Linked DNA regions of Tamandua tetradactyla. The protein of the gene in region 2 interacts with the protein of the main gene of each other region in a pairwise test. Links are inferred from orthologs where the notes say so. Each region holds a gene or a part of one and is shown on either strand. Other genes may lie near its edges.

Region 1 (7,578 bases), on a different chromosome or scaffold from region 2:
AGCTCACTTAAAAAGAACTGGTTGATCCCTCCCAGAGAAAATAAAGCACCCAATAAATAAATTCACCCAAATTTAGCTTCCAAGATTAATTGCCACTCATGGAGAAATTCTGAGTGTAATGCTAGCAGGTAATTAAGTTAAGGAACACACACTGAAGAATTTATAGAAGCCTAAAAAGCAACTGTTTAGAATTGTCTAAAGTGGCAAATCTGAAGAACGCACAATTTAACATGTTAATAACTTAAACAATAATGTAAGAATCCCTAAAAGTCACTCTTACCACTACAGAATTGCAATTACAGCTTTATAGTTATGAAGAACCAATTCAATGCAAATATTCTGGGTTTTTCATTTCTGACAAACCAAGAATTGCCCAGGGCAAAAGTCCTACTCCTATATAACAACCAGTACCTTGCAATATACACCTCCAAACCATAAATAAATAATAGAAACCATAACTACCTGCCTTCCTGGAGTTTCCAAGTAGCTCTTTAAAAAGTGCACCCTACTGAAACCTTTGTGTCTGGCCTTCAGAAAAGACGATGCAAATAAATTCCCTCCACCTATACATAGCTTTAAAATTATCTTTGTAATAAGTTGCTCTGTTCTTGAAACGTGGGTGTTTGAAAGTGAAATACTTTTTATAATAACTAGTTCAACAACATCTAAAGAGTCTTCTGGATTAACATACAGGCCGGCACAAGTAGCCAGGAGCACAAGGAGAATGTGATTATAATGTTAGGCTACCCTTAACTATGCCACTGAAAAAATGGATGTTTTCCTAAATCTATCTTCTCTTTCTCATCTCTCAACCATGTGGTCCAGAAGAAAGGTCTAGGTTGAAAAGTGGCCTTAATACTAAATAGCTGAATGACCCCAGTCACAAAGGCATAAAATTCCTCTCACCCTCAGTTTCTGCAAGATGAAACTGGAATAACATCACCTTCCCAAAAGGAATCACACCATACATGTTAGGCACAACAATAAAGGCATCAGGACTAGTGTTCTGAAGTGACATGCACACCAGCTCAGAGGAAAAGAGGGCTAGACTGACAGTGAGGATCTGTATTCCAATGCCGCTTAATTACGAGACCCTGAGTAAATCACTCTCAAAGTAAACCACTCCAGTTAAATCACTCGCAAAGCTTCTCCTTTGGGGAAATGGAGAAAACAATTGAGATCCTAAATTTAAAACCATCACAAACTGGCAAGTATTATGCAAATGTAAAAACACTAATAGCAGTAGCATAAATAAAATTCCTGTGATAAATATGTAAACCTGAAAGTGTGAACACAAATAATTTACAGCATTTGACCTAGAGACAAGGCAATTATGGAGAAGGCCACATTAATCTGCTTCTAATCTCCCCCAGCTCCTTTTTTCCTCAAAACTCCAGAAGAGAGAACTATGGGTAAACAAGAGCATCCAGCTTGTACAGAGGCTATCAGACATCTAAGCTCTTAACCACAGCAGGAGCTTCTCTAAAGCATGACTCAGGACTTATCTCCAAGGTAAAGCAAGAGCCAAACAAATAGGTGTATTTCATTTTAAATAAATCCCAAATAGCAAAATCCAAACGATGCATAACACCAATTCATAGGATTCACCCTAGGATTCCTTTATGTGGTAGTATTTTTGTTAAAATAAGATTTATGAAAATTCAAATCCCACAAAATTTACGAATGGCACTTATGGCCATCCTGACCACTAAATCCTTGATGCTTATCAGGCTTGTGCTTAACCACAAAATGATGTATCAGTGTGGACTGATAGTTTAAAACCAAAGAGCAAATTCCCTCAGTCCACCAAACACTGTACAAAGATTATTTTCCTTCTTACTAATTACATGTTTGTTCACTTGAAAACATCTCGATCTTGGGGTCAGGCCTGTGCTAAATGCTTTCCCCTAGCTTCTTTCGTATATCCTGAATACTGGGATGTACTTCAGCATTTATGACAGTGAGATAATAAACATGCCAGGGGAAAATAGTAAGAAGCATTAGGCTACCCCAGACGTTTTTAGCCAAACGAATCTCCTTGCCACCCAAGCCTCTTCTATTACAAAGTCCTAAAACTGGATTTATCAACTGTGTTCCAGTGTACTTGAACTGAAACATGCTAACTTCAGCAGAATATCCAAATAGGATGTCTGTCACGTTTCATTTTCCCCATCCCATCCCCAGATTCAACTCCCACCCCAGTCGACCTAGCAGGTGCTTCAGGGACTCCCTAATACCACAGCCATTTACCACCTCTGACATCAAGCGTTTAAAATTGCCACGATACACACGTGGGCATAAAGAGCTCAGCTGCACATCTGGGTATCTTTTCGGGGCAGAAAATTCCCGAAGAGAGGGCTCAATAGCCCTGCTGTCCGCCTTAAACTGGAGCAAGCGGTGGCTAAAAAGCACCACCGCCCAAAACAATAATTTCCGAGCAAACCCCGAGGTACCCCCGTCAGGGAAGCGATTAGCGATAGCCGTGCAAGCGAAGCCCCTACTCCGACCCCAATCCCGGCGTGGGGTTGGCGATGCTCCGGGTCCCAGCGGGGGGCGCCGATCTCCCGCTGAGAACGCGCGGTGGAGCCCGGGCCCCCAGACTGCAGAGACCGCGCGACCCCACCGAGTCGGCCGGGGAACCCGCGCCCAGGCCCGGCACTTCGGCCGCGAACAGCCCCGCCGCAAGGCAGCGCCCGCCCCGGGGCGCGGGGCGCGCGGCCCGGGCTCCCAGTGGTCCCCTCAGCACGGCCCCACCATCTCCCGACTCCGAGCGCTCCTCTCCCGCCCAGATTCTCCTCAACCCAGCTGCTCCGACCACACGGAGAGGAAGTCTCCTTACGCCCGGCCCTCCCGAGCCCCGGCCCTATAAGGCGCCGCTCCTTCCCCACTCACTGCGCGGCGGCGGCGGCGGCAGCCCGGCCGGGAGGTGCGGACAGCCCGAGAGCGCGAGCGCGGGGACAAGCGAACCTGCGCCCGGTGGCTATGGCAGCAGAGAGGACGAATGAGCCTGAGCCCGGAGTTGCGGCGCCAGCCGCCCAGAGCGCACGGCGCCTCCCCAGCCGAGCCGCGGCGCCACGAGCGCGGGCGTCCCCCAGCGGCAGCGGAAGGCAGGAGGCCACAGAGGCTCAGCAGGGCTGGGCCTGAGCGGCGCGGTCAAGCCCGCCGTGCCACCGCCTTAAAGCCCCGCCCCCGAAGTCCCGAGGCTCCTCCCCAAAGCCGCAGGCCCCGCCCCTTCTATTTGTCGGGACCTGCAGCCCGGGTGGGCCCAGCCCCAGGCTTACTCTTCGCCGCGTCTTCTGGGCTGGTGACCACACAGCTGTTTCTCCTCAGTTATTTCTGTGACATTTATGGAGCCCTGACCATGTGGCCAGGCCAGGAGGGTGCAACTGCCACAAAGACGGAGGCGGGTCCTAATGAGAGGAGAAGACAGACAGGACTCAAGGAAAGAGCCAGTAGATAAGATAAAGACACATTATAATAAGTGCTGCAAGAGGCATGATCAAGGATTTAGATGGAAAATAAGAAGGAGCCGCGGTGACCAAAGACGATTTGGATACGAGGCCTGGGGACAGCGCTTCCCGGCCCTGCCTTTTGTGAGAGAGGGGACTGTTACTCAAGCGCCATCCCGCTGTTGTGTAAATACAGGGATAATAAGGGATGTGAGGAAGCCCTGGGGCCACCTGTTAGGCCTGGTGGATAGGCCCCGGTAAGGCGGGGCAGCTAGGCTGAAGGGGACAGCAGGGGCAGCCAGAAGGGAAGAAGGGCAGCACCGACTTCAGCAGAGCAAAGGACTGTTGCAAAGGCCCTGAGGCCTGGAGGAGCTCAGCAGTGACCCAAATGAGCTGGCGTGGTTACTGCTCCCAAGTAACCAGGTAGAAAACAAAGGGTGCAGAGATTGGGGAATTACCTAAAGTCTCAGACGTTATTGGTCTCCAAGCATGGACTCGGTCCCCAGCCTCCTCACTCCAAACCCCATTCTCTTCCTGCTAGCCAGATCACTTCCCCTTCCAGGTGGGGTCTATTATGTGATATTGGTCCTGCCATTTTCCTTTTTTATTCACATATCTTGTCTACATGTGCATGAGTTGACTCTGCAGTTTAACTTTTTTTTTCAGTTTAACTTTTATCAGTTTGATTATCATAGTCATATTTGCATTTTATTTTTCTCAGAAAACTTAAATTGATAGGTTAAATGATACATGCTTCATCAACATAATCAAGTGTTATGTTCACAGAGACTAAGTGAGGACATAGGGAAATGCAAGTGAAAAAATCAGTATACAAAATGGTATCTGTGGTATAATTTTATTTTTTAAAACAAATATACATAAACAATTTGAAGAAAATATATGAAATCATTGATCATCGCTCTCTAGATAGTAGGATGGGATTGAGAGTTACTTATTTAGTCTTAGTGTTCTAAATTTTCTGTAATTTCTAGAATGCATGAGTATTGAATTTGTAATCAGGAAAGTAAAATGAATTTTAGCTTTTACAAAAAGACAATAACAAAATTACCCAACACTCAAGACTCGGAGATTTGGTACTGTTGAGAATCCAAAACTTCTTCTTACCTGCTGGTACCCTTCAAAAGTCATTTTTCCTCTCGAGGCTTTCTGTTTCCCCAACTGAAAACTAGAAAGGATTAATTTTATCAGTGGTTTTGTCAGACTTACTTCTAGGTATCTTAAACTTTTTGCTGCTATAGTAAATTATATTTTCAATTTATATTTTATAATTTATTGCAGGTTGTTGAAATGCAATTAGTTTGTATATGATAATCTTGTATTCTGCACACATTGAACTCTTTCTTAGTCATATTTAGTTTGCAGGTTTTCTTGAATTTTCTTTGTAAAAAATCATAGGGTCAAAAAATATATATCATAGGGTCTATAAGTAAAGCCAGTTTGCTATCTTCTGTCCAGTCTTTATTTCCTTTTCTTTGTCTCACTGCATTGACTAAAACCTCCAAAAAATGTTGAATAACAGTGATGATAATGGGCATTCCTGCATGTTCTTAACTGCTTCTAAGGGTTCAACTCTGAGTATGGTTTGTGGTAGATTTTTGATAGATATTCTAACAGAGTAAAGAAACACTATTCTGCTTCCTAGCTTTATTATAAACATTATGAATATAGATGTTGAATTTTATCAAATTTGGGATTTTTCTAATTCTCTAAATGTAATAAATCACACACATGGATTTTTATATATTAAACCATCCATGCATTCCTGGGATAAATGCACTTTAATGTATTATTTTTTTTAACATACTACTGGATTCTGCTTGCTCATATTTTATTTAGGGTTTTTGCATCCACATTTATGAGTAAGATTTGCCTCCTGTTTTCTTTCTTATTATTTCCTTTGTCTAGTTTTGTTATTGAAGTTGCATAAACCTCATAAAATAAATTAAGGAATGTATGTCTGTAAAACTAGAGCTGCTTCTATAAGTCTGGGATTTTCTGTAGTTTGAGTGTTTTGTAGGATTCTCCTGTAAATCATCTGGAGCTCTTGGTTTTGGAGTTGGAAGTAGAAAAGGTTTACGTTAGGAGCTGTTTAACCCAGCAGGACTGCCAGCTTGTTGGGGAAGGCTAGCTGTTTTGGTTTTTGTTTTATTAATATTTTTATTGTGATGTCTTCATGCATCATATAGTCCATCCAACGTATACAATCAGTGGCTCACAATATCATCACATAATTGTGTTGATCCCTACCCAAGTGTCTCTTTCCCTTTCTTTTTCTTTTTTGGTGTCTTCCCCATCTCCCCCAACACCTCAACCCACAACAATAAATCTGATCTCAGGGCCCACCTTTGTACCTAAATGGCCTTGCTGGAAGCTGAATCCAGAAGAATGTCCTTAGACTGGCCTCTCTGCAATGATGCGGTTGACCATAGTCTCCTAGGGAGAGCCTCTTCCTTGGCCTCTAGGGTGCCATGTTTTCCTAGTTTTCCTCCTTCCTCTGCAGCACCTCTCAAACTCATGGAAATGCTCCTCTTGCTTTACCCACCTTTCATACCCAAGTGTCTATTCAAGGCAGTTTTTGTTTCCTAGGTTGCTGAAAGCAGATACCATAAAATGGATTGACTTTAACAATAGAAATTTATTAGCTTACAAGCTTACAGTTTTGAGGCCATGAGAATGTCCAAATCAAGGCATCATCAGGGCAATGCTTTGCTTCCAAAGACCTGCTGCCAGCGATCCTTGAGTCCTCTGCCACATGGCAAGAGACATGGCAGCATCTGCTAGTCTCTCCCTTCTCTTCCAGGTTTCTTTGCTTTCAGCTTCTTACTTCCATAACTTTCTTTTTCTTTTTCTGAATTTCATTCTCTCATAAAAGACTCCAGAAAGAGAATTAAGACCCACCCTGAGCCATGCTTCTGAAAAGTTACCTTTTGATAAAGTAACTGAAGTAACCTTATCAAAAGATCCTACTTACAATAGGTACACACTCAGAGGAATGGATTAGCTTTAAGAACATGACTGTCTGGGGTGCATACAGTTCCCAACCACCGCAAAGGCTACCCTTTCTTCCCCGTCCGCCCCTCTCTGTGGACTGGCTCACCCCCGTCCATATATTCTATTACTGTCTCTAAGCCAAAGGTTCCTAAATCCATCCCTCCAGCCCAGACCTCACTCCTGAACTCCAGATCTACAGATCCTATGTATTCTATAGCCCCTACTATGTGGAGGCACTGTGCTTAGTGATTTTACCCTCTGTATTAGTTGTCTATTGCTTTGTAACAAATCGCCCCAACATTTAGGGGCTTAAAACAATAAACATTATCTCACAGTTTCTGTAAGTCCAGAATTTAGAAGTGATTAGGTAGGGTATTTCATGAGCTTGCAGTCCAGATGTCAACTGGGGCTGCAGTCATCTGAAGGTTTGCTTCCAGGCTCATGCATGTAGCTTTTAGGGAAGGTGTTAGTTCCTCATTATGTAGAACCACACAGGAAATATGAGAGGAGATTTGAACATAGCTCTGCTTGACTCCCTGCAGTTTTCTGTTCCTTCGCAGTCAATCCTCTAATGGTCTACCACCAGGCATCTCACCCTCAGCATGCACAAAGCTGAACTCTCTCTCTTTACCACCCCCAAACGTACATAGTTCCCAGCACAGCGAATGGTGCCACCACCATCCACCCAGCTGCTCAAACCAGAAGCTTTGAGTCATGCCTGCTTCTTCCTTCCTCTCACTTTCCAGAGCCAGAGAATCTAGCCCTGCAAAATGTTCCTCTTCAGTAAAGCCCCTGAATCCATCTCTGTTCATCTCCACCACTATCACACTGGGTCCAGCCACCAATTTGTCCCTTCCAGACACCAGCAGTAGTCTCCTCTCTGGTCTCTTTCATTCTCTGTGCCGCCACACTACCAATCCATCCTCCTCCCTCCACCATGAGTCCCTTTGACAACACAAAGCTGCCTGTGTCCCCCACCCCCACCCCTGCATGCTTTAAATTCCTTCAGTGGTTCCCACTACCATCAGAATCAAACCTAAACTCCCTCCAATGAGATCTGGACCGTGCCCTGCCCCACTTGTCCATTCTCCTCTATTGCCCTCATCCATCTCTCTGG
Region 2 (7,258 bases):
CTCTTTTGTTGCTCAGATATGGCCTCCCTCTAAGCCAATGCTGCAGATGAACTCACTGCCCTTCCCCTATATAGGAATGACTCCCAGGGATGAGCCCGGACCTGGTATCATGGGATTGAGAAAGCCTTCTTGACCAAAAGAAGGAAGAGAAATGAAACAAAATAAAGGCTGAGAGATTTCAAATAGAGTAAGAAGTATTTCTGGAGGTTATTCTTATACAATATATAGATATCCCTTTCTGTTTTTGGTGCATTGGAGTAGCTAGAGGGAAACACCTGAAACTGTTGAACTGTTATCCAGTAAGCCCTGATCCTTGAAGATGACTGAATAACTACAGAGCTTTTAAGGTGTGACTGTGAGTATGAAAACCTTGTTACTAAAACTCCCTTTATCCAGTGTATGGACAGACGAGTAAGAAAAAAAAAGACCAAAAAAATAAATGAACAATAGAGGGTATGGGGGTATGGGATGTTTTGGGTGTTCTTTTTCTTTTTATTCTTAATTTTGTTTTTGGATTAAAGTGTTCAAAAATCTATTGTAATGATGAATGCACAGCTTTACGATGATACTGTAAACCACTGATTGTATACTCTGGATGATTTTATCTCAATAAAAAAATCATTGACAAAAAAATGGGCAAACAACTTGCATAGTTATTTCTCCAAAGGAAATGGACAAATGGCCAATAAATACATGAAATGATGTTAGATTCTTTAGCCATTAGAGAAATGCAAATCAAAACCACAATGAAATACCAACTCACATCCACTAGAATGGCTATTATTTTAAAAAGGCAAAATAGCAAGTGTTCACAACGATATGGAGAAATAAGAATCTTCATATCTCATTGGTAGGAAAGTAAAATGGTGAAGCCACTTTAGAAAACTGATGGCTCTCCAAATAGTTAAACATAGAACTACCATATGACCCCACAACCCCATTTCTAAGTATATACCCAAAGAACTGAAAGCAGGGACTTGAACAGATATTTGTACAGCAATGTTCACAACAGCATTATTTACAATAGCTAAAAGGTCAACGTAACCCAAGTGTCAATCGACAGCTGGATGGATAAACACCATGTGGTATATACATATACTAGAATATTATTCAGCCATAAAATGTAATTAAGTTATGTTGTAAGCTATAACGTGGATGAACCTTGAGTGAAATAAGTCAGACACAAAAGGACAGATATTATGATTCAATTTAAATGAAATAACTAGAACATGCAAATCTATAGAGATAGAAAGTAGAGTACAGGCTACCAAGAATGAGGATTGGGGTGGTAGAAATGGGGAGTTAACGTATAATGGGTGCAGAGTTTCTGTTTGGTTATTTTTTTACCACAATTTATTAAAAGGAGAGAGAGAGAGCAAGAGAGAGGGAGCGAGCATAAGATTAAAGGGACAATGACAATTAAGTGTAATACATGATCCTGGACTGGATCTTATAAGGAAGGAGAAAATGCCACAAAGGACATTTTGAGACAATTCAAAAATTAGAATATAGGTTGTAAGCGTTCTATCAATGTTAAATTTCTTTAACTTAACTGTACTTAATGTGGGTTACTTAAGTGACTATCCTTGTTCTTAGGAAATAAACATGGAAGTATTCAGTGTTAAAGGAGAATGATATATGCAATGTGCTGTCAAATGTTTATACAACAGATAGAGAAATAGAGAGAGAGAGAGAACGATATAGCAAACGTGGCAAAATTTTCAAAGTTGGTAAATCTAGGTATCTGTGTGGGGGTATTTGGGAATTCTCTGTATTGTTTTTGTATTATTTTTGCAAACTGTAAGCTTGAATTTATTTCAAAATTAAAAGTCTAAAAAATAGGACATTTCTATTTGCAGACCAGCAAATAAACATAGGCATATTAAAAATAAATAAATACAAAAAATTTTTAAAATCAGCAGATCTCCTCATTCAGTCTCTTTTATTTCAGCAGGTATGTGATTAAGAGCTTCAGCAGGCAAGTAATTAAGAAAGAAAAAAAGATCTTTCTACACTTTATACAACATGATTCTTTGTGTATGATAATTTCTCTGATCTTACTCCCTGTAGATGGGTGGCTGACTTTTCTTGAGGCCGATGTATCAGTATACTTTTTCCAGAGATATGGAGACCTATAAAATAATTCTTTAACTTTCAAGACGACAGCACTAATCTCACATTGAAAAGTAATGCTCTAAGTATTTTGCACAGATCTGGGCTAAAGAGTTTCACAAGGAAGTTGAACTTTACCCCGTGCTGTTATAAAAGAAGATAAATTGCACAGAATCTTTTCAGAAAAATGTTACTTAAAGTGTAATTCTAACATAGGTTTTTCACTGATGCCCTAAGACCCTGAGGTTTAGAACAGATCAGGAGAAATAACCGCATTTCTAGGCCAGGACACAGTTCCCCTTTACTCACTGAGTTGATACGCGCGCGTGCGCGCACACACACACACACACACACACACACACACAAGTGAACCTTCACACACAAAAGCTAACCTTCTTTATTGTCCAAGTGCTAAAGTCCTTGATAACACATTGCTTATCAATCCATGCCAGAAAAACCGAAGCTGTAAGGAAGCGGAAAAGTTTGGCGTCTACAGACCGCGTTGGATCCCAGCCTTTCCCACCTACAGCCGCCATGGGCCTCAGTCTCCGTTTCCTTCCTAGTAAAGAGGGACGGGTTCCCAGCGGTGACTGAGCAAGCTAACCTATGCAAAGAGCCCGGGCGCGCACCAGGTCTCAGTCCGCATTAGCGTCTTTCTCACGTTAAAGCAGCAGGGGAGAGGCCGAGCCTCCGGAGCAGGCCGACGGGCGAGTCCGCAGCTGCCCCTGGCTGGAGATAACCGAGCCTGTTACCTGATTGCGTTGACTGGCGGGTTTCGGAGGCGAATCAGCGCCAGACGGCTGGGGAGCCGCGCGTACTCGACCATGTTTCCCCGTCGCTGAGGTGGCCTCGGTCGTCGCCGCTGGGAGAAGCCTCTTTGAAGGCGGCACCGGGTCGGCCCCGCGAGGAGGGGCGCCAGCTGAGCCAATGCGAGCCCCGCGCGGCTCGTGCGCCCGGCTCCGTCTCGCCAGCTGGCCAGCACCCTGGGCCTCGTGGCCCACCCTCAGACCAAGCCCTCTTCTCTCCCGGACCCGCCCACTCACAAGGACAGGAAGCGCTGTCCGAAGGCCTGTGGGGTCTACAAACGTTTGTGGTCCCTTTTTCTGTTTTGACTGCCATCCTTCTCCATATACGAAATAGAGCAAGGAGGACAGCGGTAAACCGGCTGGGACTGCGGCAAGTGGAGGTGTCAACTCCGGAGCCAAGAGAAACTGCCTTCTCACAAGACTCAGATTCACTGAACTGGTCAAGAAGCCCTCAGCATCATGTTGAGCGAAATAAGCCAAAAATTAAAGGACAAATATCGTGTGGTCTCACAAATATGAACTAATTATAATGAGCAAACTCTGGGAGTTAAAGTCTGAGAGCACATTTTACCAGGACATTGAAAAGGGATAGAGATTGGGCAAGGGAATCTCATGGGAATTCCCTTGCTAAGGAAATATAGAATGCTTAATAAGGTTGATTGTAAAGGTTCAGAAATGGATAGCACAATATTGTGTGATGGAAGCACAATACAGTGCTTGTAAATGAGAGTAACAAGCAGAGCGTGAGTATGGTTGAAAGATAAAGGCCGGGGTAATGTATGTCACCCGAAGGAAAGCTGGAGGATAAAAACTGGGACTGTATAACTTAATGAAACCTAGAGTGGACAATGACGGTGGTTAATTATAAAAAATAATAAAATTCTTACATGAACTAGAACAAGCGTACCTCACTATTACAAGATGTTAATAAGATGGGTAGTATACAGAAAAAAATAGTTAATGTAAACTAAGGTTTATAGTTAATAACATTATAATATTCTTTCATTAATTGTAACAAAGGCACTATACCCAAGCTAAATGCCAATAATGGGGGAATAAGGAATATGGGGTTTTTTTCCGGAAGCAATGAGAATGTTCTCATATTGATTGTGGTGGTGAATACATATTATACCAAGGGCCATTGATTGTACACTTAGAATGGATGGTATAGTGTGTGAATAAAACTGTTTAACTAAAAAATTTTTTTTTAATGTAAATGCTTTCATCAGTTTTCATCTTCATGATCCTTCTGGAGCAGATATCTGGGGCTCTGACAATGATGTGATATGATACCCACCTGAACACATAAGATACACACATTATGACCTAAATTAATGTGGTACTATCAACCAAACATTTACATCACACGGCAACCTAGTGAAGCCTTTGAGTTTTCTTGTCTGCCTAATGCTTCCCTTTTATCTTCTGCCATTCCTAAGGATTGTGGCTTCTAACACTTCATTCATTCCTCTATAAACTGAGTACCTACTGTACTGGTTTGAAACTGTTGTGTACCCCAGAAAAGCTATGTTCTTTAATCCTGGTTTAGTATTGTAGAGTGGGATCATTTTGATTAAGTTGTTTCCATGGAGATGTGAGACACCCAATTGTGGGTGGGACCTTTTGATTAGGTGGTTTCCATGGAGATGCATCTCCGCCCATTCAAGGTGGGCCTTAATCTGCTTACTGGAGTCCTTTAAGAAGGAATCATTTCGGAACAGCTTCAGAGCTAACGCGCACAGAGACCATTTGAAGATGCAGAAAGAAAATGCCCCAGGGTATCCAGAAGCCAAAGGACCAGCAGATACCCTAACCATTTGCCTTCCCAGCAGATACCCTAACCATTTGCCTTCCCAGCTGACAGAGGTATTCCAAGCCATTGGCCTTTCTTGAGTCAAGTTATCTTTCTCTGGATACCCTTAGCTTGGATATTTTTATGGCCTTTTAGAACTGTAAACTGGTAACTTAATACATTCCCTTTGTGAAAACCAACCCATTTCCAATATATTGCATTTTTGGCAGTATTAGCAAATGAAAACACCTACTATGAGCTAGGCCTAGCCTCAAGACTGTAAAAATAAACAAGGCACAACCCCTTCCCTCCAAAACTTTAGGCTAAAACAAGATTTCTCTAAGTGTGTTTGGTCCCACAGTCCCTCCAGTGGTCAGAAGGCAGCCTGGACGTTTCAGAGGAAAAAGCAATGAAATAATTTTGTTCACTGATGTTTCACAAATGTCAGCCATAATTAAGGATTTATCAGAGACATTCTTTTGCTTTTTGAAAAAAAAGTAGGTTCCAACTCTTAGCAAAGTAGTGATTGCCTTGTGGCCCTGGTAACAAATAGCAGTCAGACCCCATTCAATTCATCAACTGCCTCAGTGATCACCCCGTAAAAAGCCAGCCTATCAACAACAGTCTATCAATCCTTAAAAAAAAAATTAAATGTCATATTGGGAAGAAATGGTGCAACACCAAAAGCCCATATACAAAACAATATTCTTTTCTGTAGTATTTTCTTATTAAAATATCATTTGCTGGGTGGGCCACGGTGGCTCAGCAGGCAAGAATGCTCGCCTGCCACGCTGGAGGACCCGGGTTCGTTTCCCGGTGCCTGCCCATGTGAAAATATATATATATATATACATCATTTGCTGCACATGAAAATAATGGGTGATTTCAAACTGTTATCACAATATTAGTTTGGCTTACCTAGCACCACCTCCATGGAGCCTACTTTAATTCCCATATAGAAAACAATATAATCCTTTTTTCAACTAATATAATCTGAGCTACTGAATGGTGAGTACCTATCAATCTTTTTTTTTAATTTTATTTTATTAGAGAAGTTGTGGATTTACAGAACAATCATGCATGAAACACAGGATTCCTATACAGCACACCATCACCAACCCCTTGCATTGGTATGAAACATTTGATACAAGTGATGATAGCACATTTTTATAGCTGTTCTATTAATTATAGTCCATTGTTCAACTTAAGGTTTACTGTTTGGGTAGTGTAGTACCATGGATTTTTGTTAATATTTTTATTCTATTACCATAGATATGAACTAGCATTTCCCCTTTTAATCATATTCAGATATTTCAGTGCTGTTAATTGCATTAGCAATGTTGTGCTACCATTACTGACACCCATTATGAAAACATTTCCATCATTCCAGATAGGAACCCTGAACATTTTAAGCCTTAATTTCCCATTCCCTATTCCCATCCAATCCCCTGGTAAACTATATTCTAGCTTCTGACTTTATGAGTTTGCTTGTTCTAATTGTTTTATATCAGTAAAATCATACAATTTTTGGCCTTTTGTGTGTGGCTTATTTCACTTAACGTGATGTCTTCAAGATTCATCCATGTTGGGCAGTGCAATGGTGGCTCAGTGGCAGAATTCTTACCTGCCATGCCAGAGACCTGGGTTTGATTTCTAGAGCCTGCACATGCAAAACATAAAAAAAAATCATCTATGTTGTCTCATGCATCAGGACTTCATTGCTTTTCAGGAATGAATAATATTCTACTGTATGAATATTACTTATACATTCCATCAGTTGTTGGGCACTTGGGTTGTCTCCATCTTTAATAATGAATAATGCTGCCATGAACATTGGTGTGCAAATATCTGTTCAATTCTTTTGGGTATATGCTGAGTAGTGGGGTTCTGGGTCATATGGCAGTTCTATACTTAGCTTTCTGAGGAACCACTAAACTATTTTCCACAGCAGCTGTACCATTTTATATTGCCACCAGCAATTAATGAGTGTTCCTATTTGTCTGCATCCTCTCCAACACTTATTTTCTGTTTTTGGAATAGCAGTCTGTTCTAGTTTGCTAGCTGCCAGAATGCAATACAGCAGAGACAGATTGGCTTTCAATAAAAGGGGATCTATTTAGTTAACATACAGTTCTTCAGAGGAAAGGCAGCTAACTTTCAACTGAGATCCTTTCTTACGTGGGAAGGCACAGGGCAATCTCTGCTGGCCTTTTCTCCAGGCCTCTGGATTCCAACAACTTTCCCCAAGGTGATTCCTTTCTGCATCTCCAAAGGCCTGAGCTGAGCAGTGAGTGCTGAAATGAGGTATGCTGAGCTGCTCTGGCTGTGCTATGTTGAGCTCTCTCATTTAAGCACTGGCCAATAAAATCAAACATCATTCATTGCAGCGGGCATGCCTCCTAGCTGACTGCAGATGTAATCAGCAACAGATGAGGTTCACGTGCCATTGGCTCATGTCCACAGCAATAGAACTAGGCACCTTCACCTAGCCAAGTTGACACCTGAATTTAACTACCACACAGTCATTCTAATGGATGTAAAACGGGGG
Region 3 (7,632 bases), on a different chromosome or scaffold from region 2:
GCCCTCCCCCAGCCATTTCTCTCCTCTGCATTCTGGAGTCAGGTCTGGGGGCAAGACAAGGCAGTTTCTCCCAAACTCCCCCCCCCCCACCAAGGGCCCTGCCAGCCCCCTGCCCCAACACCCCTAGCCTACCTGCCTCCTATGGAGAGACCCCCTGCAGAGGTGGGAGCCCCTCCCACCCCCTCCACTCACTGCCTATTAAGGGTCCAGGGCCAGGACTGCCCCAGCTGTGGGAACATCAGCTCTGATACTGAGGATAAGCAGCTGCGCCCCAGGAACCTACCATTTCTGGGGTGCGGGAGTGGGGACAGTCTCAAATAAATAGCAACATTCAGGAGGGGGTATGGTCCTGGAGGGAGCATGAGGTCCCTTCCTGTGCAGAGGGCAAAGGTCAAGAGGAACAGGCTGTGACTCTATTTCCGGACCCCCTCTGACTTCATGGGGTTCACCCTGTGTTCTGTGGCCCCTGCGGTTCTCCTCACCCTGTACGTGCCCTGCTGAGGGTCAGATGGAGGGAAGGCCTGTGTGGGGCAGGAGTGTCGGGTCTGACACACACTGAGCCCATCAAGCTTTGTCATCATCCAGAATGGGCAGCCTGAGGCCTCATGGTCAGAGGAAGGGAACACCCGAGCGCAGGCCGGGGGAGTGGGGTGGGACGTTTGCAGGGCCACCTGGTGGCCTCCTGCCTTCAGGCCCTTTGTCCAGTGCAGGAGGGCTCCCAGCCTCAGAGCCTGATGGGCACATGTCCCCCACGTCACCACCCACCCCTTTTTCTTACAGTCAAGGAGAACAAGGCATAGAGAAGCTTAAACAAGCCAGGCTGGGCCTGGAAACCAGGTGTCCTGGCTCCTGGCCCAGTGCTCCTTCCGGAAGCCTCCATGGCTCCTTTGCACTGAAGCAAGGCAATGGGGACGCTGGATAAACTCCAGTGGGCTTCTCCTTTCATCAGAGGGTCCAGCGCCCTCCATCCCCGGGGGGAGCCAGGGAGCTGGGGAAGCAGCCAGTCTGCCAGACCTCCGGTCCAGGCACACGCTCACCGCCAAGGATGTGATGTGCCCAGCTGTACCGTGACCAACTGAATGGCCAGGGGTACGATGTGAGCTTCAGTTTCCCCTCCAGGAATACAACCTGGTTGCAAAGCCCCCCTGGGACAGGGACTGGATAACTCACAGAAAGCTTGTGGACGGCGCACAGCAGGACAAACGGTAGCGGGGCGCAGGCAGTGCCCACAGGGCCGCGGTGGTGGCTGTGGAGAGGAGGTGGGGCGGGGTGGAGGGGCCTCGCAGCCCAGGACACACTGGGCTGGACCTCCTGTGCTCTAGGGTGTACGGGGCAGCCAGATCCTGGCCTCACCTGCAGGGCAGCCCGGGGGACGGCAGCTTAGCACAGACAGAGCCTCTCAGGGCGCCCCTGCCCGTGGGAGCTGCTCAGGGTGCAAGAGAGGACTTTAGGCATCAGGAACCGGGGAAAATCCCCCTGATTTGATCTGTCTGCAAGGGCCTGGGAGAAGAGAAACATGAGCTGAGGACAGGCAAACTTTTTTTTCCCTTGGATTTTTAAAATAGACTTTTTATTTTGGAATAATTTCAGATTTACAGTAGAAAAACAGTAGAAACAGTTCTCACAGACTCCCAGTTTTCCCTAATGGCAACAAGTAACATAATCAAGACACTAACCAAGGGATTAATTGGTACATTACTACTCATTAAACTCAACTACTTGGATTTCACCAGGCACTTTCGGTTCAAGGTCCAATGCAGGATACGTGGGTGCAGCCGGTGGAAGAAGGGAAGGAACCTGGGCAGGTGCTGGGAGGAGGGTGAGCTGGGGGCCATGTGAGGAGATGCAGAGGTGACTGCTTTCCCAGGGAGTGTCCTACAGAGGCTGGGGCAAGGAGAGAACACTGGTGCAGAAAGGACTTGTGGGGAGGACCCTGAGGGCAAGGCCACCTCTGGGGCCGCTGTTTTCTCACCCACTGAATGGGTTTAAGATGAAAGGAGACAATGGTCAGCAACACAGCAGGGCGGGGATAAAGACCTAGGAAGCCAGTACCGAGCTGGCTAGGCCGGTGACTTTGGGCGAGGCCTCGCACTGCCCAGAAGCAAAACAGAAAAATCGCGTTGTGGAATTCTGCACGCCCCCACCCCTGCCCCGGGAACCGCCGTCTACCTGGGAGCCCGGACCCCCACCCCCGGCCCCGGCCACTCACTCGGGCTTCGGGCGGTGCTTCCCGGGCGTCTCCGCGCCCCCTCCTCCAGGCCTCCAGCTCCGCGCCACCCCCGACCCCAGCTCTCGGTCCAGCCGGCCTCGCCCCTGCGCTCCCGCACTCGCGCGGCCCGCCCCACGGCCCCGCCGGCCAATCCGCGGCCTCCGTGACTAAATAAGGCGAGGAGCGCCGGGCCCGGGCGCCCCCCGGCCGTTACTTCCGCCCCCACTCCCCGCCCGGCCGGTGACTCAGGGCCGCCGACAGCAGGCACGGGGCGGGGACGAGGCTGCGCCCCGGCCGCGGGCTTCCCGGCGGCGGCGGCGGCGGCGGCGGGCGGGGCTCCCGCGGCGCCGAAATCGCCAAATATGGCCGCGCCGCCGCCGCCCCCCGCACCTGCGGCCGCACCTTGGCACCCCCCAGCCGGTGACACATCCGCGGAAGAGGAAGAAGCTGCCCTTCCCCCTCCCCCACCGCGGCGGACCCAGGTTCCCCTCATCCCCACCCACTTCCCCCACGACCCTCCGGCGGCCCACCTGGCCTCCGGGCTGTTAAGGGGGTGCAGAGACAGGGGTCCATCGGTCCTCCGCTCCCTCCTTATCCCCCCCCAGGAAGCAGCCTAGGAAGCCGGGCGCAGCGCCCCCTCCCCGGCGCACTCGCAGACAAAGGACTTTTAGAGGAAATTTCAGTCCGACGAGGTGGCAGGCACCCCTACCTCCAGCTGAGTAGAGAGAGGGCCTGGCAGACACCTGCCCCAGGTCCCTGGAGGTGCCACCGCGACTTGGGCCCCCAGCGGAATGCCTGTCCCCTATTGTAGCTGCATGCCGGCCCGGGGTCGGAGTGGGTTTCCTGGAGGTCCGTCCCCCCCCACCACGTTCTCCAAGGATGGGGAACGCGCTCCGTGCGCCTTGACCGGCCCCTGGAAAGTCTAGGAGGATGGAGACTCAGCGAGCCCCTGCCAGGCCTGGGAGCTCGGTGGTCTGGGGCGTCAGAGAGGGGCGGTCACCAGCTGGCCGGGCAGGGCTGAGGGCCCCAGCCCGCATGGGCGGGGCGGGCAGGTGAGGAGTCCGGTGCCAGGCACCAATTCTCCCACCCCCAGACACCTGCCCGATTGCAGTGCTGACGGCCTGCGACCTTGGACCAGGCCCTTGCCTGGCTGTGCCAGGCTCCACCGCCACCCCTGGCCGGCCAGCGAGGTTCCTCTGTGACTGTCAATGTTTAATATAGTTTTATACTGAACAATTCTGGAAGCTTCCAAATAAGCCCATGGAAACCACGAAACCTGGTTTTCCCCTGAGTATACAGACCAAAGAATCTGTGCACGCAGGGCTGCCAGGGCCCATGTCATTTCATGTAACTTCCTGGGGGAGAAGAGGCGCCCTGCACCCGGGAACAGCCTGCAGCCCCGGGACCTGGCTTCGGAGCACGGGGCTGGGGTGGCTGTGCCTGGAGGTCCCTAGGCTCCTTTCTGTTTTGGTCCCAGCCCTGCCCTCCTAGCTCACAGAGGACACAGAGTAGTAGATGGGGGCCCCCACCCTGTCCAGCAATGGGAGCTCAACTGTCCCGGATTCCCTCGTTCAACCTCAGTTTCCCTACTAACTCCACAAGGTGGGCACCCCTGTACTGGGGTGAGCTGGCCCCAAATCCAGCGCGGCGCCCACCCCCGGGGGCCATCGGGCCTGCAAGGCAGCGGTGCAGAGCTGGGTGACAAAGGATCTCAGGGTCGGCGCCTCTGGGTGGCCCGGGCCGGGCGCTCTCCGCTTTCCCACGAAGGGACCTGGGCACGGCGCAGAGCCGCACCCTTCAGCGCGTCGGGCCCGGGTTGTGCGCGCGGGCGGCCGACTGGGACCACCGCCCAGTCCCCTCCCCCAGTCCGGCCTGGGAAGCGCCCTTGGCGGCCCCGACTCTCAGCCGAGCTCGAGAAGCGGCTCCGCGGGAGGTGTCCGGAAAGCAAAGCCCCCAGCCGGGCCGGGGTGGGGGTGAGGGTGGCACACCCCGGCTTGGGCAGGCTCCGCGCCCAACCCGGCAGTTTCGGGGCGCAGCCGGGCCCCTCCCCCACGGCGCGGCAGTCCCGGGGCGGGGCCGGGCCGGTCAGTCCCAGGCCCTACCGTACACCCCAGGCGATGTCCCCTATCTTGCGGTACCCGAATCCCCGCGCCTCGCGTCCCCGGCCCTGCCCCTGCGGGGTCCCGGCGCGGCGGGGGCGGCGCGGGCGGCGCGGGCGGGGCCGTTGGGAGGCGGAGCGCGCGGGGGGCGGGCCCGCGCGCGGGTTCCCACGTGCCCCAGGCGGGCGGGCCAATGAGCATTCGGGTTTCGGCAAGATCGCCATATAAGGACATGTTCTGGGCCGCGCGCGCCGCCGGTCCACGCGCGCGCCCCGTTGCCGCTTAAATAGCGGCGGGGGAGGCCGCGCTCGGTCTCACTCGCCGCCGCCGGCCCCGCTCTGTGTTCTCGCCGTTGCTCCTTCCGCTCCACCGCGCCGCGGCCGCCCGTTTCAGGTAAGGCCCGGCTTGCGCGTTTCGGCCCCGCCCCGCGGTCTTCCGGCACCCCTCGGCCGACCCTCGTTCTCGGCGGAGAGGGCTGGCGTGGGTCTGGGGAGAAGGGGCGGCTGGCGGGTCGGGCCCGAGTCGGCAGCCCGTGCTGTGCTTCCCGCAGAGTGAGCGCTGCGCCTTGGGTGGGGGGTTTTCGAGGGCGGCGCTGTGGCGCGGGGCGGGGTCCCCTACCGAACGCCTAGGGTGGGGGTCACGTACAGCGTCCAGGCGGTTACCGAGCTTGGATTGGGGGTTTGGGGGTCCCGCCAAGCGCTCGATCCTGGAGGGGTCGCTGACTCGGCCGCCCCGCCCCGCCCCGCAGAGCGCTATGGAAGAGGAGATCGCCGCGCTCGTCATCGATAATGGCTCCGGCATGTGCAAGGCCGGCTTCGCCGGGGACGACGCGCCCCGCGCCGTGTTCCCCTCCATCGTGGGGCGCCCCCGACACCAGGTGAGCGCAAGGCGCCAGGGTCGGCGCGGTTTCCACTCGCGGCGCCGGGCGGAAGGGGGGGGGCGGCGGGGGCCTGACGCGCAGTGTCCTCGCAGGGCGTGATGGTGGGCATGGGCCAGAAGGACTCGTACGTGGGCGACGAGGCCCAGAGCAAGAGGGGCATCCTGACGCTAAAGTACCCCATCGAGCACGGCATCGTCACCAACTGGGACGACATGGAGAAGATTTGGCACCACACCTTCTACAATGAGCTGCGTGTCGCCCCCGAGGAGCACCCCGTGCTGCTGACCGAGGCGCCCCTGAACCCTAAGGCCAATAGAGAGAAAATGACGCAGGTGCGCGCTGGGTGCTCGGACCCCGCCCCTGCCTCCCGCACTATTTTTTCTGTTCTTTATTTTTTTTTCTCGTTCTGAAATTCAAGTGTCTCTTTCGGTATTTCCAGGACCCTGTTCCTCTCCTGGCCTTCCCTCCCTGAAGCCTCAAGGTTTCTCGTGTGTGTTCTGCCTGCGTTTCTCTCCCTTCCCCTCCACTCCCCTGGGTGGCATGCTGGCCCGCGTGTGAGCATGGGGGGTGGCGGCCCTGGCCCCGCCTGAGCGCCCCTTTTTTTTCGCAGATCATGTTCGAGACCTTCAACACCCCTGCCATGTATGTGGCCATCCAGGCCGTGCTGTCGCTGTACGCGTCCGGCCGCACCACGGGCATCGTCATGGACTCCGGCGACGGCGTCACGCACACCGTGCCCATCTACGAGGGCTACGCGCTGCCCCACGCCATCCTGCGTCTGGACCTGGCCGGCCGGGACCTGACTGACTACCTCATGAAGATCCTCACCGAACGCGGCTACAGCTTCACCACCACGGCCGAGCGCGAGATTGTGCGCGACATCAAGGAGAAGCTCTGCTACGTGGCCCTGGACTTCGAGCAGGAGATGGCCACGGCTGCCTCGTCCTCTTCGCTGGAGAAGAGCTACGAGCTGCCCGACGGCCAGGTCATCACCATCGGCAACGAGCGCTTCCGCTGCCCCGAGGCCCTCTTCCAGCCTTCCTTCCTGGGTAGGTGCCGGGGACCTCCTTACTCCCCAACCCCCGCCCCGGGGCCTTGCGGGCGCTGAGGGGGCGTGGTCTGTCTCATAGGCATGGAGTCCTGCGGCATCCACGAGACCACTTTCAACTCCATCATGAAGTGCGACGTGGATATCCGTAAAGACCTATATGCCAACACGGTGCTGTCGGGGGGCACCACCATGTACCCCGGCATTGCCGACAGAATGCAGAAGGAGATCACGGCGCTGGCACCCAGCACCATGAAGATCAAGGTGGGTTCCGGTCCCGCCCCCGCTCCCCCTTCCCCCCAGCTGGGAGGTGGCCTCGGGTCCACTGAGGCCCTCTATTTCTTTTTCAGATCATCGCGCCCCCGGAGCGCAAGTACTCGGTGTGGATCGGCGGCTCCATCCTGGCCTCGCTGTCCACCTTCCAGCAGATGTGGATCAGCAAGCAGGAGTACGACGAATCGGGCCCCTCCATCGTGCACCGCAAGTGCTTCTAGACGGACTGCGCTGGGCCGGGGTCGCTGCGGGAGCCCGTGCGGTACGCGGCGGCCCGGACGCGCCTTGTGCCAGTCTCGCGAAACTGGAATAAGCCTTCGGAGAGAAACTCGTCTTGGAAGCCTGTCCCGTCAGCACTGGAGCGTAGAACTTGTTGCTGATCTTGATCTTGTATTCGAAGTTAACTGTTTCCTTGGTATATGTTTTAATACCCTGTACATATCTTTGATTTAAACCCCCACCGTCATGGCTCGGGCACTCCGTGACCCGGGTGAGGTGTGGAGAAGTGCGGGGGCTGTCTCCGGCCCACGCAGGCTGTTGGCGCGGGAGCCGCGGCTATGCCGGGGTTTCTCCGGGTTCCGCGAGCGCTCTGCCGGGTGCTCGCTCCGCCTTGCTGGTCCGACAGGTGGGGAGCGCCCCGAGCCTTGGGGCCCAATCTCCTTTCTTTCCTGATGTTTTCCCTCCGGAACACCGCGGCTCGCTACTTGCCCTGAGGTGGAAAACGGTTTGCATTTACACCTGTAAATTTATTCATCCTTTAATTTATGTAAGGTTTTTTGTACTCAATTCTCAAATCTTTGAGAGATGACAACAAAGTTTGGTTTTCTACTGTCATGTGAGAACATTAGGCCCCAGCAACACGTTGTCGTGTAAAGAAAAATAAAAGTGCTGCAGTAAAGAGGCCATTGGCTCCTGTCGTGGGGGGATGGGGGCAGGGGTCTTGGAAGCTGCCCGGTAAACTCCATTTCTGAAGAAGCACCGATTTAGTTTCTCCCAAGCTAGGAGCTGAGTGTATAGGAAGAAGGTCTCATTGGGTGGGCCTGGTTTTGGGGGAACCCCTTAGACCACCTGTATGTGGCAGCCCACTATCCCTGCATTGCTGGCCCCCAGATCTCTTTCCTCC

What was found.
Region 1: the proteins of EHHADH (region 2) and KCTD6 interact in binary tests that used the Homo sapiens proteins (3 or more experiments, as listed by UniProt). The two-hybrid records come from large-scale screens. The link is inferred for Tamandua tetradactyla from reciprocal best matches to the Homo sapiens genes EHHADH and KCTD6.
Region 3: the proteins of EHHADH (region 2) and ACTG1 interact in binary tests that used the Homo sapiens proteins (3 or more experiments, as listed by UniProt). The two-hybrid records come from large-scale screens. The link is inferred for Tamandua tetradactyla from reciprocal best matches to the Homo sapiens genes EHHADH and ACTG1.

Annotation. Positions count from the first base shown.
Region 1 is NC_135341.1:26,375,636-26,383,213, forward strand, and holds the start of KCTD6 (BTB/POZ domain-containing protein KCTD6), read right to left. Parts: upstream 3,067-7,578; 5' UTR 2,968-3,066; intron 2,927-2,967; exon of another isoform or gene 2,893-2,926; intron 2,569-2,892; exon of another isoform or gene 1-2,568. UniProt on the Homo sapiens protein: Probable substrate-specific adapter of a BCR (BTB-CUL3-RBX1) E3 ubiquitin-protein ligase complex mediating the ubiquitination and subsequent proteasomal degradation of target proteins.
Region 2 is NC_135336.1:3,928,875-3,936,132, forward strand, and holds the start of EHHADH (peroxisomal bifunctional enzyme), read right to left. Parts: upstream 3,008-7,258; 5' UTR 2,939-3,007; coding exon 2,865-2,938; intron 1-2,864. UniProt on the Homo sapiens protein: Peroxisomal trifunctional enzyme possessing 2-enoyl-CoA hydratase, 3-hydroxyacyl-CoA dehydrogenase, and delta 3, delta 2-enoyl-CoA isomerase activities. Catalyzes two of the four reactions of the long chain fatty acids peroxisomal beta-oxidation pathway.
Region 3 is NC_135332.1:73,752,670-73,760,301, reverse strand, and holds ACTG1 (actin, cytoplasmic 2), read left to right. Parts: upstream 1-4,566; 5' UTR 4,567-4,701; intron 4,702-5,056; 5' UTR 5,057-5,062; coding exon 5,063-5,185; intron 5,186-5,280; coding exon 5,281-5,520; intron 5,521-5,798; coding exon 5,799-6,237; intron 6,238-6,318; coding exon 6,319-6,500; intron 6,501-6,586; coding exon 6,587-6,730; 3' UTR 6,731-7,410; downstream 7,411-7,632. UniProt on the Homo sapiens protein: Actins are highly conserved proteins that are involved in various types of cell motility and are ubiquitously expressed in all eukaryotic cells.